4 linked regions of the Elephas maximus indicus genome follow. The protein of the gene in region 2 interacts with the protein of the main gene of each other region in a pairwise test. Links are inferred from orthologs where the notes say so. Each region holds a gene or a part of one and is shown on either strand. Other genes may lie near its edges. The genes, in order: ATN1, WWP1, ARRDC1 and ENTREP1.

Evidence for each region.
Region 1: the proteins of WWP1 (region 2) and ATN1 interact in a two-hybrid assay, tested with the Homo sapiens proteins (2 studies listed by BioGRID and IntAct). The link is inferred for Elephas maximus indicus from reciprocal best matches to the Homo sapiens genes WWP1 and ATN1.
Region 3: the proteins of WWP1 (region 2) and ARRDC1 interact in binary tests that used the Homo sapiens proteins (3 or more experiments, as listed by UniProt). The link is inferred for Elephas maximus indicus from reciprocal best matches to the Homo sapiens genes WWP1 and ARRDC1.
Region 4: the proteins of WWP1 (region 2) and ENTREP1 interact in binary tests that used the Homo sapiens proteins (3 or more experiments, as listed by UniProt). The link is inferred for Elephas maximus indicus from reciprocal best matches to the Homo sapiens genes WWP1 and ENTREP1.

Annotation. Positions count from the first base shown.
Region 1 is NC_064822.1:63,725,991-63,732,843, forward strand, and holds the start of ATN1 (atrophin-1), read left to right. Parts: upstream 1-3,853; 5' UTR 3,854-4,070; intron 4,071-4,442; exon of another isoform or gene 4,443-6,853. UniProt on the Homo sapiens protein: Transcriptional corepressor. Recruits NR2E1 to repress transcription. Promotes vascular smooth cell (VSMC) migration and orientation. Corepressor of MTG8 transcriptional repression.
Region 2 is NC_064833.1:55,410,142-55,417,837, forward strand, and holds the start of WWP1 (NEDD4-like E3 ubiquitin-protein ligase WWP1), read right to left. Parts: upstream 3,013-7,696; 5' UTR 2,810-3,012; intron 2,804-2,809; exon of another isoform or gene 117-2,803; intron 1-116. UniProt on the Homo sapiens protein: E3 ubiquitin-protein ligase which accepts ubiquitin from an E2 ubiquitin-conjugating enzyme in the form of a thioester and then directly transfers the ubiquitin to targeted substrates.
Region 3 is NC_064827.1:661,533-668,975, forward strand, and holds the start of ARRDC1 (arrestin domain-containing protein 1), read right to left. Parts: upstream 2,920-7,443; intron 2,912-2,919; exon of another isoform or gene 2,390-2,911; 5' UTR 986-2,389; coding exon 932-985; intron 371-931; coding exon 249-370; intron 1-248. Other genes in the region: basic proline-rich protein-like, read left to right, coding at 3,036-4,451. UniProt on the Homo sapiens protein: Functions as an adapter recruiting ubiquitin-protein ligases to their specific substrates. Through an ubiquitination-dependent mechanism plays for instance a role in the incorporation of SLC11A2 into extracellular vesicles.
Region 4 is NC_064827.1:84,578,710-84,585,689, reverse strand, and holds the start of ENTREP1 (endosomal transmembrane epsin interactor 1), read right to left. Parts: upstream 3,017-6,980; 5' UTR 2,506-3,016; coding exon 2,104-2,505; intron 1-2,103. UniProt on the Homo sapiens protein: Functions as an activator of the E3 ubiquitin protein ligase ITCH in the ubiquitination of the CXCL12-activated CXCR4 receptor. Thereby, triggers CXCR4 endocytosis and desensitization, negatively regulating the CXCL12/CXCR4 signaling pathway.

The sequences.
Region 1 (6,853 bases), on a different chromosome or scaffold from region 2:
GAAAACTCTATGGAGCACAGTTCTACTGTCACATATGGGATCCCCATGAGTTAGAATTGACTCAGCAAGTGATATAGCCAGGATCCAGAAGTCCCTGAAAGTATCAAAGGTATAAAGCTGTGGACTGGACCAGCTCCCATACTGAGCCTCTCCCAAACAAAATCCTGGCTGGTTCTGGGATGGAGCAGGACTGTGTGGCCATCACCTCCTGCAAGATGGGGAACTGGGAAGACTGGTACCAGGCCATGTAGGGAAGGGCCTGAGGAAGCTTAAGTCCTGAATGTTCAGGACTTGAAGTGCTTGACAGGCCCTCTGGCTGGGTCAGACTGTGCATAGGGTGCCAGTATATGGCTAGAGATCCCCTGTAACTCCTAAGCTCCTGTGGAGCCCCAGCACTGGAATGCTCAGCCTAGGGACCACCCAGAGGGAGAAGGGGGTGGGCAGCCCAGTGCCTTGGATTGGGAAGGCACATATTAGCAGGTAGGGGCTGCCCATGGGGAGCTGTGGCCACTAGAGGGAGCCGATGTTCTATACGACACCGTGCGGGACACTGCTGTAGTCGGGGTGGGAAGAATTTCAAGGGTACTCTCTGTGGGCCTCCCACTCTAAGTTCTGGTCCTGGGCTCCCTCTGCTGTCTTGTACAGCTCCAGGGCTAAAAGGATTTCAGTTCTGTATAGGCAGGGCCCATTTCTGCCCTCTCCTCCTGGGTCCCTGACACCTCAGCCATTTTCAGTTCAAAGAGCTTCTTGCCCCCACTCCTCCGTGCACGTTGCAGTGTGGGCATCTCATCTTTCTTTCATTTCTGCCTAGCAGGACTTTCTGCCTCTCTTGGGGCTCACCATACTTTCTCTGTGCCTCTGTTGTCTCTGAGGTCCATGACTTCCATCTTTCTTCAGTAACTACCAGACTTATTAGGATTACTCTGGTTCTGGTTTGAGCCACATTTTCTAACCAGTGTCCTTTCTTTCCTCCCTCCTTGCTCTGTTGCCTTCTGACAGTCATGCTCCCTGCCCCCCCCTCAGGTATTGGGTTGGATTGGGTTACAGCTAGCTGTGCCTGGGCCTCCCAGGCCCCTCTCTCCATTTTCCTTTTGTGCCGTTGCCTGGAGACCAGTGGGTTGTGGGGGGCTGGGGCCAGAAAGGAGAGCTGGGGTGAGGGATGGTGAGGTGTGTGTGTAATGCTCCCTGAAGCTGGATTGTGAGCCTGGCCCTCACATGGTGAGGAATTGGAGGGGGTAGGCCCCAGTTTCTCTGCTGCCTCTCCCTATCCCCACCCCCCTCATTCCTACTTTACACCTAAGTCAGTTTTCCTTTTGGGCTCAGATATATCTGTCATCATCCTTGCCCACCTCTTCGTGGTTAAAGAACAAGAGAAATCTCAGCCTAGAAGGGAGATGGGAAGGGCCTGGGCCAGGGCCCAGTGGGAGACCGAACTGAGAAGTACAGAGGAAATGCTGTGCGGAGGAGTGGGAGGGGGAAGGAGGAGTCTTGGAACAGAGTTGAGGGGGGTGGCCAGGAGGAGTGGGGCTATCCTGGAACACTGAGGAAAGAAGTCTGGGGAGCCCAGGAAGACAGGCTGGCTTTGTCTTAGGGAGGCTGGGGAGGGATAAGGAAGGTGGGCATGGAGTGGTAAGTGACTGCTAACCAGTTTGAGGGACTTAAGAGTGGTGATTCATTCCTAGGCCAAGGAAGCCTTCTTGTTTCCATCCCCAGTGCTTTAGAATCCATGTACTGTAAGCTTTTGGGTCCTCCCAGACATGTGTTGGCTGAACCTGGCCCAGGGAAATGTGAGGCGACATCTACTGAGTTTCTACAGAGCCAACCTCCTTCCCTCTCAGATGGCAGGGGATCCTGCCAGTTCAGGGCCTAACATGGGCCTCTGGCTGGCCTGACCCCACAAAAACTCTACCCTCACCTCAAATCTGGAGAGCTGAGGACTCCTGATCCAGACTCCAGCTCCAGCTCTTCCTGTTTCCCAGCCTCCCTCCCTCCCTTTCTCTGGCCTTCCCAATCTCAGCTGCCAAAAATCACCCAGTGTCTTGGTGTCCTTTGTCCTAGGAGATGGAGCTGCTTGGTGTGGGCCCAGGGAGGGAGCCCAGAAGAAGGCGGCTTGTGGGGTGCTGTCTTCATGGCTGAAGACTGGGAATGGCTGGCAGACTGACAGCGTCAGAGACTGCCTGGAGAGCAGTGGAGGGAGAATGAGAGTCGCGTTAGAATGAGCTTTTGGTCTGTAGTGGTGATTGTCTCTACCTTAGAATGGAGTTAGGGAACCAGGACACCTAGGGATTTGGCTCCATACCAAGCCTAATCCCCACTGACCCCTTCCCTGTGGCCCAAGGTACAATCAGTGGTGACTTCAAACAGATTTGAGAATGAAAATAGAGAAGCCACCACACAGAAGGGCCTGAGGCTGGTCTCCCAGTCCTATAAGTTGAATCCCTTACCCACACCTGGACACGTCCCCTCTGTGTCTATCATTTCCTTCAAATGCTCTCCCTTCTCTTGTCTTCCCCATCAATGACCTACCTTCCTCCATATTGCCACCAAAGGCCTTGTTTATTTTTCCAATCTTCCTTAAATCCCTCCACCCAATTCTATCTACCTCGCCCTGCAAACCCAAGCCCTCAGTTCACTTAACCCCAGCATCCAGCTAGCCCTGTGTCTTCCACCCTCTTGTCCCACTCAGAACCCTAGTCTCCTCTGCCTCTTTCACCTCTTCTTAAGGCTCTTCGTGCTTTCCCTTTCCTCTTCATACTGACATTTCCTCTGGGATCTTCTCTCCAGCTTTCCTTTAAAAAGCACCCCCAAATTCCTATATTCCCTATTCCTTTCCCAACACCAATCACCCCTTAAACTCTTTACTGTCTTCCCAAAACCCCATCCTCATATATATGTCTCCATCCTTTCAATTTCTTCCCTTCTTATGACCCCAAACTTTCATCCTATTCTCTTTGGTAATAACCCCCCAAACTCTTCCCACTTCATCTCTGCCACAGACGCAATCACTCCAAGTTTCTTTCACCTTTCCTCATTTCCACACACTTCATTGTCCCCAAAGATCCTTGTAGCTCCATTTTCTCAATCTCTTTCTAACCCTTTTACCCCAATCTCTATCCCAGTACCCCCAAACTCCTCCCACTTCACCTCTGCCACAAACCCCATCCCCCCAAACTTCTCCAGCTTCCCCCATATCTGTCCTTACAACCCACAGCCCCTCCTGGCCAGCCCTACTCCCGCGTCAGGCCGGCGGCACCCTACATTCCGCCACGGCGAACCCCTCCCCGCGCCCCGGCCCCCTCGGCCTCGGTCTCGGCCAACTCACACAGCGCCTCCCCTTCTCCGGATCCCCCTCTCTCCCCCCTCGCAGCTTGCCTCGCGCTCCCTCCCTCGCGTCTCCCTCCTGGCCCCTCTCTCCTCCGTTCCTCCGCGCTCCCTCCTTCTCCCTCTTCCTCCCTTCTCCCATCCCCCTCTCCCAAGCTCCCTCCCTTCGCCGTCCGCTTTCCTGTGCGAGTCGCCGGACGCGCCGCCCAGCCCGCCCGCAGCCCCGCGCCGGGCCGGGGCCTCCAGCCGGGACCCATTTCGGGGGACCGCTGGCCTCGGGGAGCGGCTAGGAGTGGGCGAAGGAGACGACCGCCCGGGAAGGGGCGGGGGCCGCGGGCGGAGGCCGCCGAGAGGGCCGGGGATCGCGCGGGTGCGGGCTGCGCGGGGCCGGCGCGGCGGCGGCGGCGGCGGCGGATCCGAGCGGCGCGGAGGGCCGGCCGGGCCGCGGGGGCGAGCGGCGCGGCCGCGGCTTTCGGGCGGCAGGGGAGGCGGCGCGACTGGGGAGGGGACGAGGGAGAGCGGCAACGGGATTTGTTTCAGGGGACGGCGGGCGATCGGGACCAGGTGGGGAGGAAAAGGGACATGGGGGCCGCCCTCCGGGGGGGTCGGGGACGCCGCCGTCGCCGTCGCGGCGGCGACTGAAGCCGGAAAGAGGAGAGGGGGGCGGGGAGCGGCCGCCGCCGCCCCCCGGAGGTGCCGGAGCCCCGAATCCCGCCAGGAGGCAGCCAGCCGTCCCGAGCTACAACCAGGTAAGCTGTGCTGCCGCCCCGGCCTCCGGCCCGCCGGGTTCTGGCCCGCGGCTCCCCACCCCCACCCCTCCCAGCTCCCCCTCCCGCCGCTGCCGCCTCCATTTGTTATTTTCCCGATTCGGTCCCCCTACTGTGGGCACTGCCTAGCCTGAGGCTGGTGGGGGGGGGCGCTCTGGGGGTGGGGCCGGCCCCGAGGAGGGATGGGGGCCAGGGCACCCAGAGGATCTCGAAGGCTGAGAGAAGTGGGAGGGGCTCAGGAGGAGGACTCATGGGGCAAGGGGGTAGCCAGGACCCCCGGACCAAAAGAAGAGGAACGCCGAGGTGGGGATGTGGGGGTGTTGGTGGAGGAAAAACGGGGGATTGGGGCAGAGGCAGAAAAGATTGGAGAGATGGCAGCGAGGTGGGGCGTGAGGGCTCCAGGAAAAGCCTCAAAGGCCCGGAGCCTGGCTTTCAGGGCCAGGGGTTGGGGGTGTTAGGAATAGAAGGGAAGTGGGAAATGGGGAAGGGGTGTGGTAGGTGGAAAGAGAGAGATTGTGGCTGTTGAGGAAGGGAAGTGGAACCTGCGGAGATGGAGGCTCAGAAATGGGCAAGGAGAGGTCCATTTCTGAGAAGAATAATCAGGGGCTTTGAGGGTTGGGAGTGTGAAGGTGATGCCTTTGTGACTTATTTTTCTCTCCCTTACTGCAGGTCGCTTCTGACCCTGTTTTCTCAATCCCAGACACAGTTTACTTCTGGGAGAGGGGCATTGGGGCCCAGTAGTGTGGGTCTTTGTAAAACTGATGAGGAGGAAGACAGGGGCATTGAAGGGAGAGTTAAGGAGAAAGGGTTTCAAGGAGGGTGGCTTTATAGGCACTTCAAACAAGCTGTGACCCCACCCTTAAATCCCCAGAGCACCCACTGTGCTTCTAGCCATGGTCCCTGTATAGGAGAGGTCTTCGTTACTCTTTTGAGCTCTAAGGTCTCCCTTTGTGCCAGATGGATCCCTGGGATAGACTCTTGGGGGGGAGGCTACCATTTTGTTGCCATGGCAATGGTCCAGTGGGATGTCCAACTAGGTGGGGGTTCAGAATCTTGATTGGACCTCAGTGTGTGCCTGTGTCCTTGGGATGCATCAGGGCCCTAAATTCCTAGCTCTTGGCTGGGTTCCGGAGGATGTTTCTGGTGCTGCTGGTGCATAGGAGGTTCCCCAAAGGGTGCACCCCCTTCCATCCAGCAGTCTGTTGAAACAGGTAGACATGTTACTTGCAGGTCGTAGGCGTCTCCAAGTCCCTTCTCCCAGGCATGGTGGGAGAATGAAAATGCTCTCAAGTTATACCATCTTTTGGCGGTTCTTTCTGGCCTCTACCTCCCTTGTTATTAAGGACTTTTTTACACAGTAGTTTTGCTTCTCTGCACTGAAGTCCTTCTGTTTTCTTAAACTTGAATTTCTCTTTGAGTCTCCCTTCCTGAGGAGTATCTCTTTTCCTCTTTTCCAGACTATCCCCACAGTGACCCTTTTCTTCAGCTAACTTTCAAGTTTCTACTTCCCTGACCTTGTAGGAATGACTGGGCTGTCCCAGGGGAAAGGGCCGAGGCACAGCCTGGTGCAGTGGAAGTACTCTGGAATGGGAACCAGGAGACCTGGGTCTAGTCTTGGTTGTGTCTGTGACCTTGGGCAAGTCACTTCTCTTTCTTTGAGCTTCAGCTTCATTGTAAGATGAAAGGATAATAGACTAGATGATCTCTGAGGCCCTTCTGACAACCCTGGATTCTAAGGTGGTTTAGGCCAGTGCGTGCTGGTTTGGGCTGCATTGTCTTCTAGGAGACACTTTGAGCTGGTTTGCCAGTCAGGCAGGTCTGGAATGAGAAGGGCTGGGCCAATGATCCTGAAATTCACCCTGCAAATCCCTCCCAGAAAGCCTTGTGACTCAGTTGTATTTCTTCTGATATCCTTCCTATACAAAAGGAAAAAAAACCGGTTGACATCAAGTTGGTTCTTTTTCTGAAGTAGATCGCCAAGCCTTTTTTCCGAGGCACCTCTAGGTAGACTTAAACCTCCAACCCTTTGGTTAGCAGCCAAGCTTTTTAACTGTTTGCACCATCTATGGACTCCAGCCTTCTCATACTTCTCCCTTAATTTCTTTTCCTGTTCTTAATGAGGGGCTCTTTTCCTATTTCTCGCAACCCTTTTCCAGTTTCCCAATTTGGTCTATCATTTTCCCTTTGCAATACGGTAATCAAGGTGAATGTGCTTAGCGTGTTGCCAGACACATAGTAGGTGCTTTACAAATATTGAAGCCCTGGTGATGCAGTGGTTGGCTGCTAACCAAAAAGTCACCATCAGCTGCTCCTTGGAAACCCTACTGTGTCCTATAGGGTTGCTATAAGTCCAAATTGACGGCAGTGGGTTTTGATTAATAAATGTTAGTTACAGTGACTGGCCGCTAGGGCAAGGAGTGTAGCTCACCTGTTTGGTGTTAGAACGTGCCCTAGGTTCTGAAACATACATACAGTCCAATCCCAGTCCCTCCCGTCTCCCTTTATCCTGGGATTACTTGCCTACCTTTTTATGACGGCTTTACTTCTTCAATGCAACTGTTCGCTAATTTTTTCAGATTTCAGCTGATAAAAAAAAGTTGAGGTGAGGGGGAAGGGCACACGAATTGCTGTGTTCTTCAGGTACATTCTCATATTTCTTTGACCTTTTGGATCCCCTGACTGATGTGGTGAACAGGTTCTGTGATGGGAGGAGAGATGGGCGCCCTGCTGTAAAGATGAAGATCACAGCCAATCACAGTCATCTT
Region 2 (7,696 bases):
GTTTACTAATCAAATTATGCTTTAACCATGCTAGGAAGACTTAGCTACTTAATCCTGTGGGAGTGGGAAGGGTGTGGGGGCGGGAGGGCATTTAATAAGGGTACAGATGCTCTTACCGAAAACCTAAGATCCAAGAATCACAAAAATGTTAAAAACTAGAAGAAACCTCCCAGATTCAACCATATCCAACCGATGGTCAATCAGTCGCATTCTCTTCATACAAGAAAGAAAATCATCATTGTCAAGTGACTCGTGATGCCACTTTGCCCACTTGGTAATTGAAATACTTAAGGTAGATCATTTAGCTTCTTGGGCTAGTTTGTTCTGTAATATAAAAGAAGTAAGTGAGTCAAAATTCTATGTAAACTGTAAACCCCATCACAAGTGTGAGGAGATAAGTCTCTAAGCAATCCTCTCTGCTGTAGAGGTTCTTGCCAGGATGGGGGAAGCTGAGTTCTACCATTGTAAAAAGATTCCAGGTTAATTCTGAGAGCTGACCTCCACCCAAACCTGTCCAATGGGTTCCATGGATGAGCTTCACTAGGTTCACGGACTCCTCTGAAATTATATCCACAAAGTGCAGGTACAAATAGGGATATTCCAGTCCAGCAGATTTCTTTAGTTTCACAAAAGGTCAGTTATTCCAAAAAGGTCAGTAAACTACTGACATAAAATAACAAACATATGCTGCTTAAAAAAAGGTAAAAGCTTACATGGATATGCTCAAAATGATACCACCACTCTCCCAACTAACCTGGGTCAGAATCTTAGTTTAACATTTTACTTTCTTCATTTTTTTTCTCATCATCAAGTTCTGTCTGTTCTACACCCTTCCTCCTTTCCATTCCCATTACTGGCAAAGTGCAAAACTTTTGCTAGCTATGACCACAGCAATCGAGAGGTCTTTCTACCTCCAGGCTCTCCCTAGTCCAATTCACACTGCGGCCAGATTAGTACCACTAAAACAGAGCTTTAATCATTTCACACCCAACTTAAACATCACCTGTGAAACCTTAACCACCTACTAAATTCAAGGTCACATTAAAAACAACCCATAAGCTAGCCCAAATTTTTACTTCAAGCTTTATCACCCTCTATTCCTGTACAAAAGGTCCCTGGCTAGCATAAATGGCTAAGCATTTGACTACTAGCCAAAAGGTTGGCGGTCATGCAGTAGATGCTTAATAATTGTGCAAGAAAGTAAAAGAAATTCCAGCCAGCATGGGGTAAAGAGCAAAGATTATGATCTCTTTGAAGGTAAAAACCTTATCTGTGACATCCTCTATCATGCCAGAGGAGCCCTGGTGGTATGGTGGTTAAGTACTCATCTGCTAAGCAAAAGCTCTGCGGTTTGAACCCACCAAGCCACTGTGTGGGACAAAGACGTGCCAGTCGGCTTCCCTAAAGATTTACAGCCTTGGACACCTACTCTGCCCTCCAGGGTCACTATGAGTCGGAATTTATAGGATGGCAATGGGTTTGCTTTTGGTTATCATGCTAGGCTTCCAAAAAATGTAACTAGCTACTGCTTTTCAAAACTGTGGGGTCATAGGTCTTATAGGCAGTTATGCATTTTAAGGGAAGAACTATCTGAAAATGTTAATAAACTACGTCCCAAAGAATTTTGTGTAGCTCTCAACACTTAGCTATTAAGTTTTTAGTTTAAAAAATATTAACTATTTATAAAAAAATGAGCATTTCCAGTCACTGCTAGGTTACTACTTTATGGCTAAAGACAAATCACATGAATGAATTCTTTTTTAAAAGGTGCAATACATGGTGCACCTTGCTTGTATAATACACGTAGGGCCTTAGTGAGTGGTAAAGTGGGTTTATACATAAGTGAACTCTTGCAGACAACTGTAAACCAGGTATTCAAGGCAAAAACACAAAAGGAATAAAAAAAGATAACTTTGGACATTTTCTTGTCCACAACTATTACCAACAGCATTTTCAAGCAGACACTCAAATCTTTTTGCACACTGACCTACACAAAAAAGGTTAGACTTCTCAAAGAGAAGCAGAAACCCAATCAAGCCATTGGAAAAATATTCTATCCAGAAGTAAAAACTGCAAAATAATACTTATTTTCTTTGACAATGAAGGCGTCATATTATTACTGGAGCAAAGGAAGCTCAACTCCAAATCGATGGAGTAAAGAAAGCACTGTTCACACACTGCTAATTTAAAGGTTGTAAAAGCAATGGGCAAACTACAAAATAAAAAGATAAGAATGAAAGGAGAGGGTCCAAATCACAGATAAGGACTGTAAAAACTGCAAGGTCACTGGGACCTGCCAGGTCACAAAGGTGGAGGTGGGGGTTGTGTTGGGGGGAGGTGCAGAGCCAGTGAAGAACCGGAGTCTTAAGAACATGTCAGAAAAAGACGTTCTAAGGTTGGAGTCCTGGTTTTGAAACGGCTGAATTGCGGTGAAAGTCAGCGCACGGGCAAAAGTCCACATATTTGTGTTCAGAGGGGAGGTGTTAAGGAAAGGAAGAGAAGGTAGAAAGAAGGTGAAGTGGAGCCTGAGAACTGCGGCTGCAGGGTCACGGAAACACCTCGCTCCGCTCCAATATCAGCCAGCACAGGCCTCTGCCTCTGCCCCTACAACTCGGGGCAAGACCCGTGACCCCACCCCAGCAAACTCCCGGTCCCCGGGCTGGAGAAGGCGGCCAGGACGGCGCGGACCGGCACCCGACCGCCTTTCGAGATTCCCGCCCGGGCACTGGCCGCTCCGGGCTCCGGGACCGCAGCTAAGGCTCGGGGCCCGCAGCCGCGCCGCCCGCCCCCCGCCTCGCGGCGTCCTTACCCGGCGCGAAGCCGTCGGCTCCCGGCGGCCACGGCAGCGGCGCCTCCTCCTGCGGCGGGCGCCCTCACCCCTCCGCGCCCAAGATCGCCATCTCGCAGTAGACGCGGCGGCGACAGCCACCCAGGCGTCGGCCCTGGCAGCCCAGGCCGCCTGCAGCCTCTCGGAACCCGCACGCCGCTCTCGCCGACACCCGACCCTCCCCCCACCCCACCCCGGCCACGCGCCACCCCCAGGCGACCCCACACCTCCCTCCTCGGGAGCGCGCCGCGTGCCCGCGTCACCGGCGCCGCGCTCCGAGCGCGCGCCTCCCCGCCGGCCCCGGCACCGCGCGCTGCGCCGCGGCCACCCAAAGCCTCCAACTCCGGACCCGGAATCCGGCTTCTCGCGAGCATGCGCAGCGAGGGCGCCCCGATGATGCCTTTAGAAAACTCCGCTCCTCCGGGTCTTCGGAGCGGTCTAGTGGGAGGGCCTGCCAGAGGGAGAAGGGGGTGGGGCCTGAACCTGTGGAAGGGGCGGTGCCGTCGCCGAGATTTGGGAAGAGGTTTCCCCAAACTGGCGGCGGGTACTGCTGACTTGACTTTACTGTGCTTAGCATAACGGGGTGCGTGACCTCAAGTAAGTTCCTCGGGGGCACTGGTGTTCTTGTCTTGAATGCTTTACGGCAAAATAGGCTATTAATAAATACTCCTCGCTGAATGTTTGACACAAAACCCGTTTCAAGAGTAAATTGCTTTTAACAGATAAGTCATAGCAGAAGACCTCCAGTCCATTTTATTAGTTCTGTAATCAAAACATTACTCCCTCACCCCCACATCAGCCCAGCGTTAAAGCCAATACTTATGGAGCAAGTACGTGTGTTGGCACAATTAATCCACACAGCAATCCTATAAGGCAGACTCTGTTATCCAGCGGGGGGTGCAAATGGCCAATGCCAAAAGGTTAGTGGTTCCAGTCCACCCAGAGGCACCTCAGAAGAAACGCCTGGAGATATACTTCCAAAAAATCAGCCATCGAAAACCCTATGGAGTATAATTTCTACTCGGACACACATGTGGTTACCATGAGTCTGGGTCTACTCAACAGCAACTTTTTGTTGTCGTTATATGCACTATACAAACGAGTCAGCTGGTTTACAGGAGTGTTGTTGGCACTTGGAAGCAGATCCTCCAACCCCAGTCGAGCTTTCAGAAGAAAGTCACCCTTCAAATAGAAGTCAGTGGTGACCACATTTCTGATCAGATTACCTGGCCTTCTACTTCAGAAAGATAACAAAGGCCATCAGGCATGGAATTCTACAATTTTTGCCCAATCGCCTCACCCGACCTCCACAAATTACCTACATCCACACCCACGCTTACTTGTTTTCCTTCAGTCTCAGAGATTTGGGGCCCCTGCTCCTCTCCAAAGCCAACTTCTCCACTGGTCCCCTCCCTCCTGTGACCAGTCTTTAACCTCACCCTCTCTATTGGCTACAGCTCCTCAGTATAATCACGTTTCAGACTCCTCTGTCTTAAATTCTTTCTTGACCTTAAAACACCCTCCAGTTCTCTCCCTTCTTCCCTCATAACTAATCTTTTCAAAAGAGTTACATACAAACCCTGGTGGCATAGTGGTTAAGAGCTACGACTGCTAACCAAGAGGTCTGCAGTTTGAATCCACCAGGCACTCCTTGGAAACTCTTTGGAGTAGTTCTGTGTCCTATGGGTTTGTAATGAGTCAGAATTGACTCACGGCGATGGGTTTGATTTCTTTGGTTACGTACCAAGAACTGACACTCCATGAATATTTGTAGGATTCAATAAATATCTCTTCATGAAGGCATGCATGCACACTCCCCCTTGGTTGCATTAATTCCTGCCCTCTGACTTCTCACCGTATCCACAATGACCTCTCTAAGATAGACCTCTGAGCTTACCACTCCATTGCTTTAAATCTTCCATGGGCTTTTTCAGAACTTTTAAGGCAAAGATCAACATGACAGTCAAGAGTTCTTTATTGCCCACAAGCTCTGTTCCTCCTGTTCTGACAAACATTTTCCAGTTCCTGGAGTGTGCACACCCATCATCCCCCTGCTTTAACACATAATGTTTGGTCTGACCTTGTCCTCATCTTTTTCCTCTCCAGTCCCTTGAAACAGGTGCTTACAAGAACTCTCTTAGAAATTCCATAAAAATACCCAGTAGTGGTCTCCATCTTGAGAATGTATACAGGCCTCCTTCTGTTTGCCTGCTCCCTTGTGTCTCGCTTAAAGATTCCCCGATTACACACCGCTCCGTACAGCTCAGTTCCGTGTAGAAATATTAACCCTGGCCCCTATGTTGACACCCAATATTAAACCAGACTTTTATTAGCAAATGTTTGTGTGGCTTCAAATAACACTATTATAAATAAATATGTTTTTGTAAATCTTTATCCACATCCTTATTTACTGCCTTTGATAAAATTCCTAACAATAATCAAAAGGTATGAACAATTTTAGTCCTTTTGAAACATATTGGCAAGTTGCCTTCCAGAAATAGGCTAGGCTTAGGATCAAAACAGAGCTCTGCCACCCATGGCCACATTCTGACTTTATGGGCTGTAGGCACTTTTGCCTATGTGGGCCTCTTCCTCCATAAATTGTATTAAAAATTGTGTTTTACACAACATTGGTACAAAGACAAATATAGTGACATTATACATTAAACTGTTTTCTTCAACTTAAATGTTTATTTTTTTCCCTTCTGATTTTGAAAGAAAATAAAACATTTTTATGGGCCCCTAAAAGTATTACAGGCCCGAGGCACTGTGCCTATTGTGCCTAATGGATAAGATAACCCTGCTGCCACCTATAAATTATAAGACTTGCCCAAATTAATTAACCTGACTGGGCCTCAACTAAAAATTTGGTATAATGCTATCTACCATATGATGGCAAGAAGTTAATGAGTTGCTACATGTAAAATACTTAAGGCTGTGTAACATATAAGTGTAACACATAGTCAATAAATTATTATCGTTGTAATTGTTTTTATGAATTTCCCCACAGCACTGTATGAGAGAATATGCTTGTTCTTCTTCACTGCACTGAAGTCATCATGGCATTTTTTCTTATGAGCAAATATGGTATCTTATTGTTGGTCCATTGTCCATTTTCCTACTAGGTTATTCACAAAAGGATGCTTTGTATAATGAAGATATTGATCCTAGTTAAACCTATTAGTGTTTTCCATTTTTATTTTCTTCCTTTATTTTTTGCTTCACAAGTCCTTTTCCATTCTAAGGTCATATAATTTATCTGCATTTTTTTTTTCCCCTACTTGTTTGATAATTTTGCTTTTTCCCTTTACGTAGTTTAATCCTTTAGCATGATCTTTTATTTTCTCTAGATAGTTTTTCTCATAGTCTTCCTCAACGTGTTAGAGAATTCTTTTCTAGCTGTGGAAGTTCTAAAATATATCCACAAATTTGTCGATACTTTTCTCTTCGGAAAAAAAAACGGTTGCTGTTGAGTTGATTCCAACTCACAGTGACCCTATGGGACAGAGTAGAACTGGCCCATAGGGTTTCCAAGGAGTGGCTGGGCTGGTGGATTTGAACTGCTGACCTTTTGGTTAACAGCCATAGCTCTTAACCGCTATGCCACCAGGGCTCCTTCCCTTCAAAAAGTGGAGCCCAATTCCCAATGGATACAATATGGCAGAGGTGACTGTGTACCTTCTGAGACTAGGTCATAAAAAGGCATTTGACTTCTTACTCTCAGATCAGTCCCTCTGGGAGAAGGCAGCTGCCATGTTGTGAGAACATATCAAACAGCCCTGTGAAGAGGCCTATGTGGAAAGGAACTGAGACCTGCTGCCAACAACCGGCAAGGATCTGAGTCTCCTTGTGAGTGTGACATCTTGGAAGCAGATCCTCCAGCCCCAGTCAAGCCTTCAGATGACTGCAATCCCAGCTGACATCTTGACTGCAACTTCAAGAGATATCCTGTACCAGAACTACTCAGCTATGTAGCTCTCAAATTTCAGATGTGTAGAAACTGTGAGGTAAAAAATGTTTATTGTTTTAAGCCACTAAATTTGTTATGCGGCAATAAATAATAAATACACTAACCCAATGGCTCTCCACAGGAACAATTTTGCATTCCAGGGAACATTTGGCAGTGTCTTGAGACATACTGATTGTCATAGCCCGGGGTGGGGTTGCCAGTGGCATCTAGTGGGCAGAGGCTAGGGATGCTGCTAAGCATCCTACAATGCACCGGACACTCCCCTTCCACCTCTACCCTCCAGCAACAAAGTTTTATCCAGTATAAAATGGCGATAGTGCTGAGGTTGAGAAGCCCTGCACTAACCTAAGTGTCCGTTCCCCTCTCCTACCTTAAAAGTTTCCTCTTCTGCATGTGTTTGTGAAAGGGTAGGGGTATGCTTCATATCCATGGCTCATATTTTTTTTTTTTTTTTTTTTTTTACTGCCTTACATGGGATTTTTTAATATTGGCCTTATATGCTAAAAAAAATTCACTTATTAGTTCTAGTAATGTTTTGTCAATTTCTTAGAAGTTGCCATGTATACAATTGTGTCTCTGTTAATAAAGAGAGTTGTATTTCTTCAGTACTTAACAGATATAGTGAGAAAGGATATCCTTGTCTTGGTCTTGTCCTGTTTTATTAGCCGATAGAAATAAGATGGATACCACACCACCAGTTGCAAGGGAAACAAAGTGGAAATTTATTGCTTGCACAAACAAGGAGCAAGGTGAGGTCTGGCAGCCAAAAGACCACAGGCTCCCAGCCCCGGGGGAGCTTGGAGCTTTTATGCCCTCCAGTCCCTAGGGGGTGGGATTGGCACCCCAAATCCAACACCCCAGTCCCTCTCATGTCCATATTTGTCAATCCAGGGGCTGAG
Region 3 (7,443 bases), on a different chromosome or scaffold from region 2:
GAGATCATACCCATTCACCCACAGAGCCACACACACCACCACTGTGACACCAACAAGCTAGGTATACCCGGGTGTCCACCAATAGCAGAGGACCCAGCTCCCAGCATCAGGTAAATGAGTTATGCGCACCTGACCCCAGAAAAGCCAACCAGATAAAAACACCAACATGCCAAACCCCCATGCCAAGAGCCCCGTTTTACACACACACCAAGGTCCTACGGGACACCCTGCTGAACAAGCAGCCCTACCTGTTGTCCTGTGGTGGAACCTGCCCTGCTGTCCTCTCTCCCCTGCTAGGGGAAAAATGGGGGGGTGTAGGGCAAAGGCAAAGGTCTTTCCCACAGAAGGCCTGCTGCTTCCTCAGGTCAGCCTGGGAGAATCCCCAGGGAGTCAGTTTTCACTGCTCTGGGTCCATTGCAGTGGCCACAGTTTTCCCTGCCCAAACCGCTGGATTAATCGGGTTCCTGCAACATGGTCCTGCTCAAGAAATGAGGGGGACCTATCGGAGGTTTTAGGAGGGGTCTTTGCTCTTAGGGGGAACACAGATTTTGGAGACTAGATGCCAGGGACTACTGCAGCCTCTTCAGGATGACACAGCTGGCCTAAGAAAACCAGCCACTCTGCTGAGGGTGGTGGCAAAGGGGGCAGGAAACCAGGCCTGAGACCCCAGTAAACTGTCCTTCAGGGGTGGTGGCAGGACTGGGCGATTCAGTGGCAGTTACTGCATCGAAGAGCCAGACTTCCTCTGCCTTTTTGATGATAACGGTTAAGTCACTCTTCACTAGTGACCCTGCAGCCCTGTTGCCCCTACCCAGCAAAGGGAGTTAAGCATCTGCTCCAGGAGGCACGCGGCGTCCTCGCACCGAGCCACGCCATCTAGCCTTTAAGTGTTCCCTGACAGTATAGGGTTATCACGAGAGATTGCACCAACCCGGCAGGTGTCTGTTGGTGGAGAGCGCTGCAGCCTTTCTGAAAGGTTTGCCATCACTCTGACTCTTTTGATCTCGATGTTGCTTGTGTCACAAGAGTTGCTCCTGGAACACCTGCTTTCCTCTTGACCCAGTCCTCCCACCTCCCAGGTAGCGATGAGGATTAATTACCCAAACATGGAGAGTGGGTAGAATAGCAAGTGTCCCACGAAGGGAGCTCGGGGAAGACTGGCGGTGCTGGGGGCATCCTCCCTTGCCCACCCCGAGAGCCAGAATTTGGGCAGCCCCCACCTGACCAACTACCAACCTTGGGTAGGGTCTGGCCTGGGCTCCAAGAGCAACTCCTTCTGCAGCACCATCAGGGCCATTCATTCAACAAGCATTTAGTGAGCAACTCGGAGCCCCCACCCTGCAGGCATCCGGCTCTCCCTTCCTTGATGTTTCTCCTGGGACAGAGGGCCTCACCACGACCTCACTGGCACTGAGCAGGCGCTCAAGAGGCATCAAGCGAATGAGGGAAAAACAGGTGGCCCTCCCCTTTGCATACCAGGAAGTATCAGAGGAAGTCCGAAGTGGCCTCAGCACCTGGTGCTCCACCGGGTCTTCTGTAGCCGAAATAATCAGGTTTCTGGCCCGATTGGGAGTCCTCCTCCTCCTCCCCCACTCAGAGAGCACCGGCTGCCACTTTTGCAGCTTTCTGTGGCCCCAAGTAATTCACCTTCACCCTACCCCAGGACCCCACACAGGGCCCAGATGGCCCCTTGACTGTGGTCAGCCAAGAGCCTTCCACTCCCATCCCCCAGATCTCACCTGGCATGGCTCTGTGCATGTGCCCTTGTGCGTGCGCCCCAGCGGGTAGCCCCACTGCCTCTGGCCCTGTGGTAACTGCCACCCCAAACTCCCAACTCCTGCCAGGGAAGTAGTTAGGGAGACATCAGATCATAACGACGAGACCCAACAGGGCTGGGAGCCTCACACCACATGGTGGCAAGGGCCACACGGAGGTCCAGATGGGCCAACTGCCCCAGGAGGCTCTGAGAGTAAGTGAAGGTGGAGAGAGCCATGCAGGGATGCCCAAGCTACCCTCGGCTCAGGCCAGAATCAGGCAGCCAGGGCCACAGGTGCACCCTCTTGGCGGCAGCTCTGCCCACCCTGCCCTCAGGGCCTGGTACAGGGCCGCAGTTTGGATGGGCAAACAAGGCCAGCACCTCCAAGAGCCCTAGCAAGGGCTGCCGCGGCAACCCAATCCCTAGTCCCAAAGTCCCAGATGTCTGTGAAAGAGGAGACAGCACCGCCACAGGGACTGGCCTGGAGGGCTCAGGTTCAGCTCCCTGGTGCCAGGCTGCGCCAGAGGCCAGGGGGAGGTGGGCATGGGCGAGGTCCTCCCAGTTGGCAGGGGAAGCCAGGGCAGGAGTCAAGGAGGGCCCTGCGGGAGGCCGCACATTCGGGGCAGGACTGTCCTGGAAAAGAGGGGCCTGAGCAAGATCCTGGGCGGGCAGGCTAGGGAGCCGGAGAGTGAGCCAGGTTACAGGTGAGGAGGCCCAAAAGATGCGGGTGGCAGCAGACCTTAAGTGCCCCGACAGGGAAACCCCAAGCGGAAATGAATCAGAGTGACCTTAGGCCAGATGGGGAGCCTCCACACCCCAGCCCGCGGCTCTGGCCGCCCCCGGGCAGCAAGGAGAGGAAGAGGCAGATGCGGCGGGCTGGGCCACCGGGGTCTCCCCGCCCCGCCCCGCCTGGCGGCAGCCCCCGGCCAAACACCCGGCGGTCTGCGCGGGGCGGCCGGCCACACCCGAGCCGTCCCCCCGGCTGGCGCTCAGGCCGGGGCAGGGCGGCGCATCCGCAACGCGCGTCCCCGGCCGGCAGGCACCGCCGCCGCTTCCGGGGTCCCGGGCGCCCCGCCCAGCCGCCCCAGGTGCGGACGCGACCACCTGAGGCCGCCCGGCCCACCCGCGAGGGGACCCCCGCAGCCCCGCCGGCCGGTGCCCACCTCGGAAGGGCAGAGGCGCGCCCAGGCGCACGCACACGGCCCCGACCAGCGGCTCCCCCGGGCTGTAGACGACGCGGCCATGGCTCAGGCGGATCTCGAAGAGCTGCAGGCGCCCCATGCTGCGAGCCCGCGCCGGGCCGGCAGCGCACTACAGCCCGCCGCCCGGCAGCGCTCCGAGGCCGCCGCCCCGCCGCCCGCCCGCCCGCCCGCCGACCCGCCCCCGGCCCGGGCCGAGCTCAGCAGCTTTGCGTCCGGCGCGGCTGGCGGGGTTGGGCGCACGGGCGCCCCCTGCTGCCCCGGGAGGCGCGGCCGGCTCACCTGTCGGGGGCGGGGCCGCTGGGGGCGGGGTCGCTGGGCGGGACCCGGGGCGGGGCCGCGGGGCGGGGCGTACGCTCGGCTCTCGGCCCCAGACGCGCCCCGAGCTGCGCAACTGGAGCCTCCCCGCGGCCGCAGCCGGCGTGCGCCGCCCGCCCCTCCCCAGCTGCCGCTCGGGACCCTCGCGCCCCGCCCCGGGCCCCGCGAGAATAGACGGAAGCGCGTCACGGAAGGCCGGGGGTGTCCAGAGGACGCCGCGCGCGGGGGAGGACGGGCCGCCGGGATCCGCGATCGCCGCCCCGGCCCTGACGCCCGCGGACCTCTCCCTCGGGCGACCCCGTAACCGCGCCCCCGGGCACCTCGCCGACCCTTACCCCGCTCCCTGGCGACCCCACCCCGGGCACCTCGCCGACCCTTACCCCGCTCCCCGGCGACCCCACTCCGGGCACCTCGCCGACCCTTACCCCGCTCCCCGGCGACCCCACCGCGGGAGGCCCTGCGACCCCACCCCGGACACCTCGCCGACCCTTACCCCGCTCCCCGGCGACCCCACCGCGGGAGGCCCTGCGACCCCACTCCGGGCACCTCGCCGACCCTTACCCCGCTCCCCGGCGACCCCACCCCGGGCACCTCGCCGACCCTTACCCCGCTCCCTGGCGACCCCACCCCGGGCACCTCGCCGACCCTTACCCCGCTCCCCGGCGACCCCACCGCGGGAGGCCCTGCGACCCCACCCCCGGCACCTCGCCGACCCTTACCCCGCTCCCCGGCGACCCCACCCCAGGAGGCCCTGCGACCCCACCCCCGGCACCTCGCCGACCCTTACCCCGCTCCCCGGCGACCCCACTCCGGGCACCTCGCCGACCCTTACCCCGCTCCCTGGCGACCCCACCCCGGGCACCTCGCCGACCCTTACCCCGCTCCCCGGCGACCCCACCGCGGGAGGCCCTGCGACCCCACCCCGGACACCTCGCCGACCCTTACCCCGCTCCCCGGCGACCCCACTCCGGGCACCTCGCCGACCCTTACCCCGCTCCCCGGCGACCCCACCCCGCTCCCCGGCAGACCCCTCCCCGGGCACCTCGCCGACCCTTACCCCGCTCCCCGGCGACCCCAGCCCCGGCACCTCGCTGACCCTTCCTCCGCTCCCCGGCGGACCCCTGTCCGGGCGCCCTACTGACTCTTGGCCAGCGTCCCCCTCTTGCCAGAGGCTTTGAGGTCGCTTGTCCCGCAGGTGTGCCAGCCGAGCCTGCTGTGTGCACCGCGCTGCCTAGCCTTGGAGGATCCAGCCCTGAAGCTATGGGCGCACCTGAGCAGCAAGTGCCAAGCCCGGGGGCAGGGAGGGCGCCGGGGTCCGAAGCTGTAGGGACAGATGACCTCGCTGCCACATGGGGGGATGGTGCGGATGGCTTTGAGACAAGGAGGACCAGAATCTGGTTTGTTTTTGTTTGTGTTTTAAATGCAACTGCACATTTATTCATATGTGCAAAACATGTTTCTGCAGAATATATTGGGCGCCCTGTCCCTCCGGCTCCTGGCCCTAGTTAAGGCCTTCCCTCATCAGTTACTACTCTAGGCTACATGATTAATCCTTACTTTGTTTTCCTTCAGAACACATAAAGGCTCTCCAAAATTTGAGTCTGATAGGGTACTAAGTGAATTGCTTAAGCAAAACAGTTGTTTAAGTTTTACATATATTTTGTCATTCTGTTTTTTTGTAGTTTTGTTTTTTCGTCAGAGCTGAATAATATTGGTCATTATGAAGATTATACATAATGAAACTCATCTTGGTTTGGAAAAATAGAACCATGCAAATCAAAGAGAATCTAAAACAAACACCCCTGCTGATAGAGGTCTACTGACTCCAAAAGTTGGGCTGGAATACTCTTTGTTTACTAACAACCCAAGTCTTTTAAACTACTTCTGTAGAATTTTTTCTCAGCTTGCTTTGCGCAGGAAGCTTATCAGTAGAGAAGGACACTCAGCCGGGGGAATTCACTTCCACTCTTCCAAAGTGGAAACCCTGGTGGCTTAGCGATTAGTAGCTCGGCTAGATCATGATTTCCAGTATTGTGTGATTGTCCACCGTTTTCTCATCTGGTGTGATTTTCCTCTGTGTTGTAAATCCTACTTCTTTGATGTTAATGAGGCAAGACGCAATCTACAAGATTAGATCTTGTCTTAAGCCAATCTCTTTTGATATATAAAACAGAGAATCAAGCAGAGACATCGGCACCTCATACCACCAAGAAAGCACAGCCAGGAGTACTGCACATTCTTTGGACCTGGAGTACCTGTGATGAGAAGCTCCTAGTCCAGGGGAAGACTGATGAGAAGGACCTTCCCCCAGAGCCAATAAGAAACAGAAAGACTTCCCCTGGAGCTGTTGTTGTTAGGTGCCCTCAAGTTGGTTCCAACTCATAGCGACCCTAGGCAACAGAACGGAACACCGCCCAGTCCTGCACCATCCTTACAATCGTTGTTATGTTTGAGCTCATTGTTGCAGCCACTGTGTCAATCCACCTCATTGAGGGTCTTCCTCTTTTCTGCTGACCCTGTACTCTGCCAAGCATGATGTTCTTCTCCAGGGACTCATGCCTCCTGACAACATGTCCAAAGTATATAAGATGCAGTCTCGCCATCCTTGCCTCTAAGGAGCACTCTGGCTGTACTTCTTCTAAGACAGATTTGTTCGTTCTTTCTGCAGCCCGTGGTATATTCAATATTCTTCGCCAACACCACAATTCAAAGGCATCAATTCTTCTTCAGTCTTCCTTATTCATTGTCCAGCTTTCACACGCACATGAAGCGATTGAAACTGCCATGGCTTGGGTCAGGCGCACCTTAGTCTTCAAGGTGACATCTTTGTTCTTCAGCACTTTGAAGAGGTCTCTTGCAGCAGATTTACCCAATGCAATGTGTCTTTTTTTTTCTTGACTGCTGCTTCCATGGCTGTTGATTGTGGATCCAAGTAATATGAAATCCTTGACAACTTCAGTCTTTTCTCCATTTATCATGATGTTGCTCACTGGTCCAGTTGTGAGGATTTTTGTTTTCTTTATGTTGAGGTGTAATCCATACTGAAGGCTGTGGTCTTTGATCTTCATCAGTAAGTGCTTCAAGTCTTCTTCACTTTCAGCAAGGAAGGTTGTATCATCTGCATAACACAGGTTGTTAATGAGTCTTTCTCCAATCCCTATGCCCCTGAATTTGGATTTCTAGCCTCCTAGACTGTGAGAGGAAACCCTGGTGGCATAGTGGTTTAAGAGCTACAGCTGCTAACCAAAAGGTCAGCAGTTCAAATCCACCAGGAGCTCCTTGGAAACTCTATGGGGCTGTTCTTTGTTAAAGCCATCCACTTATGGTATTTCTGTTATAGCAGCACTAGATAACTAAGACAGCTACTAAATTTTAGAGTAGCTTGCTATGCAGTGATAAAAACTGAAATAGAAATTGGTACTTACAAGTGAGAAACTACCATAACAAAATATTAAATGTAGCATTGACTTTCGGGCCAGGCAGCAGGAGGGTGCTGGAAGGTCCATGAGCCTGCTACTGTAGGCTGGAGAAACAGTGAACCATGTTATCTCTTGGTGGAAAAATTGGTGAGACTGTGTCATGGATTGAATCGTGTCCCAGAAAAATATATGTCAACTTGGTTAGGCCATGATTCCCAGTATTGTTAAATCCTAAACCACTCTATGTTAATGAGGCAGGATTAGCGTGGGCTGTATCTTGAGTCACTTGCCTGTGCTAAAGTCACACCCTTGCTTGAGTCACATCTTTTATAAGATAAAAGGAGAGAGAAGGGAGTAGAGAAGAGAGGGACCTCACTACCAGCAAGAAAGAAGAGCCAGGAGTAGAGTGTGTCCTTTGGACCAGGGTACCTGTACCATGAACCTCCTAGACTCAGAAAGATTGATGCTAAGACACGTGGAGATCTCTAAGGAATGCTGGGCCCACAGATGTTGAAAGGAAACAAGGACCTTCCCCCAGAGCCGACAGAGAAAGCCTTCCCCTAAAGCTAGTGTCCTGAATTTAGATTTTTAGCCTCCTAACCTGTGAAAGAATAAACATCCACTTGCGGGTGTTTCTGTTATAGCAGCACTAAATAACTAATACAGACTGGTAACATGGAAGACAGAAAATGTACCTAATTAACTTGTGGGCTGATTAAGGAGATTCCCTAGCAGAAGTTTCAAAGGGCCA
Region 4 (6,980 bases), on a different chromosome or scaffold from region 2:
TAAGTGTCACCACTGAGTGGGAGACAAGGACACACCCAGCCAGCAGGCCCTGGAGTAATACCCTTCATCTTCTGGCTGATGGCCTTTTTTTATACTTTATCAAATCCAACCGTGGCTGGACTGGTATCTAAGTGCATTTACCTGAAATAATTCAAAAATGGTTTTTAATCCTAAACTAGCTGCGTTTGAGAAGACAACAGATTATCATTTCACAAAGTGCAAATACCTAAAAATGTATGCAAGAGTCATTGCTGGCCCCTGGTATTTAGGGAAATGAAATGCACAATCCATTTGGCCGAATTTAGCCTGGCAAGTGGAGTAGGGAGCAGGAAGGATCTAATTCCCACCCTGCTTGGAGGAGGCTTCCTCCTAGAGTCTATAAAACACTCAGGGGCAATCGGCAGAGCCCAGCAGCAGGGTGGTGAGGGTGGGATTCTGTTTATATGGTGTACAAACTGTGAACTTTGCTCATATAGCACAGGATGTACCAGACAGAGATCAACATCAAAGTATTTCAAAGGAAAGCAAATTGGCATCAATTTCAGGATAAAATGTCAGGCCAGTGTCGAGGAGCCTAACGTTCTTATTCCAGGAATTACTTTTGGTTCAGATTAGCCCTCCTGATATTAAATTTTGGTCTGGAATCTGCATATGTGTCGACCTGGAAAAGAATGGCTCTTCAGCTTTCAGAACATGCATACCTTACAGATTTCGGGGAAAAACTACAGGCCACGCCAGCCCTTTTAATTTAGTTCAAAGAAAGGTCATTTACTTTAAATACTCATCTCTCACAATCATCCTACCAAGACCTGTTTCCAGGACTCTCAGCACCCGGCCAACCTCAAGGGGTTGGATGTCTTAGGAGTTGTGAAATGGTAAGGAGGTAGGGGTGAGTGTCCACCCAGTGTCCACGGACACTGGCAGGCAGCAGCCTTTGTCAGAGGCCTCTAAGTGTATTTACCTCTGAAATAACTCAAGGGTAAACTGATTTGGGCTTTTAATTTTAGAAGGCACCCTTTTGCCCTGGAATCAGCCTTCCCGGTTAGAGGAGACAGAGCTGGGTCCTGGGGCTGAGCAGATAATTCCAGGTAGCTGCCTAGCTCCTGGAGCTTTGCCTAGCTCATTGATAATGACAGGCTCAGGTTCCTGAGAATTAAACACTGCACAGCAGCCTGTGTGGCTCCAGGAACCCAGTGGGGGCTTTAAAAAAAAAAAAAAAAAAGGCCCTGCTTTAATGACCAGGTACAAGCACTGGCTTACACACACCCCCTCATTACCTCCTGAACTTGTCCCCAAATACAGGCGAGCTATCCTACATGAGATACATTTCACATTTACGTGTGGACTAACAAGGAATAAAGGAGCCCTGGTGGCGCAATGGTTGAAGTTCTTGGTGCTAACCGGAAAGGTCTGAGTTCAAGTCCACCGGCAGCTCCGTGGGAGAAAAGTCCTGGTGACCTGGCCCTGTAAAGATTACAGCCTAGAAAACCCTATGGGTCACTTTTACTCTGTTGTATAGGGTCACCATTAGTCAGAAAGAATCCAGTCCACACAATAAGGACAATGAGGAATAAAACAAGTGCCCCCCATCAACCTGTCAGTTCATTCATTCCACAAATCCACCTACTGTGTGCCAGGCACTGTTGATACATCAGTGAACAAAACAGATCAAAACCCTTGCCTTCCCGGCGTGGACGTTGTCAGTGCACTATTGTAAACACTCAATCTTCAAAAGGAGGTTAATTATTTTCCTCCGGCTTTCCTGTCATCACACCCCCCCCCCATCCTTCCAATCTCCCAAAGTGCTGGAAATTTTTGTTTTATACTAGTAACTTGACAGTAACAACAAAATCCTTTAGCCTGAGAAGAATCTGCACTGCCCAGGCGCAACCCCATTCACCCCTAAACTCAGTTGTCTCCAAAATCTTTTTCTTCTGCTGCTCCCAATGCCTCCAAAAACTTCAGCTGGCCTTACGGGTTTGTGCTAACTGCAGCCCCGCGGGGAGCGGCGGTGGTAACCAACGGACGGTGATGGGAACCAGCCAGAGCCCTCTGCCCCATGACCGGCCCTGCAAAGGTGAGCGGGGGGCGCGCTGCACTCACCGAGGAGCCCGCCCAGAAAGGGCACGAGTTCTTCACCTGCGGGGAGCTGCTCAGCGACAGCGCCCCGAAGCTGAGTGCCACCATGCAGCAGCCCAGGATCAGCTGCAGAAGCCCAAGCGACAGCAGTGGGCGGGCGGGCAGCAGCGCGGAGCCCGGGGCCGCGGCGGCGGCGGCGGCCCGGCGAGAGGAGAGCGCGGGCGGCGCGGCCAGCACCCCGGAGGTGGCCGTGCAGCGAGGCCGCGCCGGGGGCTGCAGCGCGGCCCGGGGCCAGCGCGGCCGCAGCGGGGGCAGCGGCGGCTCCTGGGCGGCGGCGGCGGCGGCGCCAGGACCCCCGGCCTGTGGTCCGCCTGAAAGCCCGGCCACGGGGCAGCAGGAGCCCGGGAGCACCACGGGCAGGGACATGGACCGGCCGGGAAAGGAGCGGCCGGCGGCGGCGGGGAGGGGACGCGGCGCTGAGCCGCGGGCGCCGCGCACTGGGCGCTGCGGGTGGGCGGCGAGGCCGAGGGGAGGGAAGGAAATGCGCACGGCCCAATTATTTGCTGCCGCCGCCGCCGCCGCAAACCCGGCTCCCTCCGGCCGCACCCACCTGCCGCCCGGCGGGTCCGCCTCCGGCCGGCCCCCGGCCGCACCCTCACTCTCACCCACCCACACCCACACGCGCCCTGCGCACGAGCCGCGCGGGTAGCCAAATATGCCTCCGTCTTCGGGTCACAGCCGAGCCCGTACCCGCTCCCTGGGGCCCAGGAAGGGGACCCTGCACCAATTTTTAGAATAAGACCCTCGAACGGGAAGGGACTGTGCGCCAGGGCACGGCCGACAGCGTAAGAATCTGTCCCCCACTCGCAGAGTTGAGGCTACAGAGGCGCGTAGGGGAAAGCGCTGTGTACCCTCACCCGGGTAACCGTACAGCCAAGAGAGCAACCCGCGGCAACCTTGGACGCGAAGGGAGTCCGGCTTTAAACTTCGCCCCCCCCCTCACCCCCCCCCCCCCCCCCCCCCCCGCCCAGAGCGGGGATGTCAGGAAGAGGAGCTTTGGGAAGAGGTCTAAGACGCAGGGCTTCGGGAAGGACGAGGCTGCGAGAAGTCGCTGCTCCGGGGACGCAGGACCTGCCTGGACGGCATCTGCTTGGTGTTTCCCGGCGCTGACACTGCGCTGAGGTCGCACCTTCTGGAGAGGGGGGAGACTGGGGGTTTCCCGGTACCTGAGTAGGAGCGAGCGTGGGAAGACTAGGTTACACTTGGAACAAATACACAGTATCCAGAAAAAAAGATCAGGGAGTGGCTCTAAGCGCTTAGCAAGGGTTACACTCTGTCCGCCTCGCCTTGAAACACAAAATTCCGGACTTAAAAAGAAATATCCTAATAAAATTCTAATCAGCGTCCTCGACTGCTTTTGGTAATTTATGAGACATCTTTAAAACTTATTAAAAAAAGTGATGACTTGTCTTTGCAAAATGATTTCCTCTAATAGTATACTTTTACCTGGGAAGAATTCTAATCTGTTGAAAAAGTGTTCTTACGCACAGAATGATTCTAATTGATTTTTCTAGATAAGAACCAGAGCAGTGAGGCTTGCAGTCAGTCAGCCCCAGTATTAGGCAGTTTATCTTATCAGTATGGTGGGAGTATTTAACGTTCTCCTTCCTAATTAACCAAAGGAGAGCTTTACCAGTTTTTATGCTCTGCTTGCGAAGACTGTATTTCTTTCTTTCATTACTTAATTCAATACAAAATGTGATGTACAGGCAACGTATATGTGTGCTTACATGTGCATTTTTTTAATTATTAAAGCACCTGGGATTAATACTTCCTGACTTCTTTTTTGGAGCCCTGGTGGTGGCTTGGTTAAGAGCTTTGCTACTAGCCAAAAAGTCAGACATTAGAATCCACCAGCTGCTCCTTGGAAACCCTGTGAGGCAGTTCTACCCTCACCTACAGAGGTGCTATGAGTTGGAATCATCACAACCGCAACCAGTTTGGTTTTTTGCTTTGGTTCCATAGTTTTCTACCACAGTTTACTTTTTTGTTGTTGTTACTGGTCACATTTATATTTGTTTCTTTTTCTGATTATTGTAAACATGAACCCATGTAACACTGCCGCAGCCTTTAGAGCTATGCCACATAACTCCTTTAAGTAGTTGGCCTTGGATTTCTGTCACCCAACCTTGATTCTTTGCATCCCCTAAACCTCTGCTTACACTAAGTCCTTAGTTTACCTGATCAAGCTGTATGGAACTGATCTCTTAGGGGATGATTCAAAGCCATTTCAGGATGACTTAAAAAATAAAGTGAGGAAGGGCCTCACTTAAGAATTTGGCCCAAATACTTCATTAATGTAGGTGAAAGTTCAAGGAAACAATGGTTGTAGTGTATTTATTGTCCAGTGGAACTCAGTTGCCAGTTTTTCCTCATGATGAAAGCGAACTTGCAAGGAGGTTCTATATACCTCCCACCGGATATGTATCTTATTTTCCACTTGGCGCACTCAGGTATAAAGGCTCTTTTGCTCAGATTTCTCTGGACCCCTTTAAACAAATTCCTCACTTTCTCCCACCCATTTCCAGAGGACCTTAGTTGTCACCTAATTAAAGGAGGCTGCTCCCTGTCAGAAGGAGCCCTGGTGGTGCAGGGGTTAAGGTGCTTGGCTGCTAACGAAAAATTTGGTTCGAATTCACCACTGTGCTCCTCAGGAGAAAGATGTGGCAGTCTGCTTCTGCAAAGATTACAGCCTTGGAAACCCTCTGGGGCAATTCTACTCTACCCTACAGGTTTGCTATGAGTCAGAATCAACTGGAAGGCAAGGGGTTTGGTTTTGGTTTTTTGGTTCCCTGTTGATGTAGAGAGCTGCTGAAGACACTTGTGATTTCAAACCAAACCTGCTTCCATTTGTTATATGTTACAGAAACAGAAGAGCTTCCCTGAATTTAAGGCACAGCAGACTCCAGAAGTTGGTTTTGGTTTTTTGGTTCCCTGTTGATGTAGAGAGCTGCTGAAGACACTTGTGATTTCAAACCAAACCTGCTTCCATTTGTTATATGTTACAGAAACAGAAGAGCTTCCCTGAATTTAAGGCACAGCAGACTCCAGAAGTCCCCATTTAGCATGGTGGGCCTGGAGCAGTATGGTCCACAGAGCACAGAATCATGTCATGTAGGGAACGTGTTAAAATGCAGGTTCCCAGGCCTACCCCACACCCATGGAATCTGACTGGATATGAGACCTGAAAACCTGCATTTTAACAAATGCAAAAACGCAGGAGTGTGTGGCACTATTCAGACTCTTTTTATATGGAAACTGTTCTATGGGAGAGGACTAAAAAAAACCATTGTCGTCGGGTCAATTCCAACACACAGTGACCCTATAGGACAGCATAGAACTGCCTCATTGGGTTTCCAAGAAACAGCTGGTGGATTCAAACTGCTGACCTTTTGGTTAGCAGAGGTAGCTCTTAACCACTACTCCACCAGGGTTTCCAGGAGAAGACTAGGGGCAGCAATTTTGTTGGAAGGGGAGTCTAGATGATTTGGTTTGAAACCAAACTTAGATGTAAATTTGTTGGGGGGAGGGCTGTTGCTGCCCCAGCAGGCACTGCTGCTCAGGTGACTTTTATGCACAGGAAAGAGCTAGCCCCCTGGATTCTAATGGACAAAGCTCCATTAGAAGGCAGACCTTCTGGGCTCTAGCCATGCCCCTCTCCCCACCCCTACTGGCTTCCATGGCCTCAGTTGCTTCATGTGTAAAATGCAGGTTTGTGATACTTTATCTGCCTAAGGCTGGGACATTTTATTATTTGGAGTCCTGAAGGCCTGCAATTTTGAAGTTCATCCATTCTCATCACCACAGTTTCTCAGATTACTGGCAAGAGAATAGGGGCTAAGAAAAGCAGGTGAACTTGAGTGTGGAATAGTTAAATTTACAGACCCAAAATATCCAGGACAAAACCCAAAACTCGCTAGTCTAAACTTGAAGGCATCAGGTTCCATGGCGTTGTGTTTTCCCATGAGGTATGTGTGGTGTGAGAGTTTGTGCGGGGGGGGGGGGGAGGGGGGATGGGTGAGGGGCAACTTCAATTATGTGTTTTCCCTTTGAAGGGAAAGGGCTGTGTAGCGTCGTTTCTGTTCTGATGTGTTTTAATTGAGAGAATGAGCTGAAGAAAGAAAGAAAAAGAAACCCTGCACAGAGCTGGATGAATCCGGCACTACATTTTTCTGAAATAACGATACGGACTGACAGCTAAGAATTCCTTAATGCCACTGGCCCCGAGATAGATTGCAGCCATACTTTTCTCATTGTTGAAGTTCAATGCTGGAAACTTTTTATGAATGCAGATACCACAGAGACAATTCATGTTAACTGCCCTAAAAATTGTTCATGGCACATATATATGTGTGTGTGTGTGTGTGCGTGTATAGGTGTTGTTGTTAGGTGCTATCAAGTAGGTTCCGACTCATAGTGACCCTACATAGAACAGAAGATAACACTACCCGGTCTTGCGCCACCCTCACAATCATTGTTATACTTGAACTCATTGTTGCAGCCACTGTGTCAATCCATCTCATTGAGGGTCTTCCTCTTTTTCACCGACCCTCTACTTTACCAAGCATGATGTCCTTCTCCACAGACTGATCCCTCCTGATAATGTGTCCAAACTATGTTAGATGAAGTCTTGCCTTCCTTGCTTTTAAAGAGCATTCTGGCTGTACTTCTTTCAAGACAGATATATATATATGTAAAACTCCTTGCCATCAAGTCGGTTCTGACTCAAAGCAACCCTGTAAGACAGGGTAGAGCTGCCCCATAGGGACCAGTTGGTGAATTCGAACTGATGACTTTTCGGTTAGCAGCCATTATACATATGTAAAAATGTGTGTCCTCTG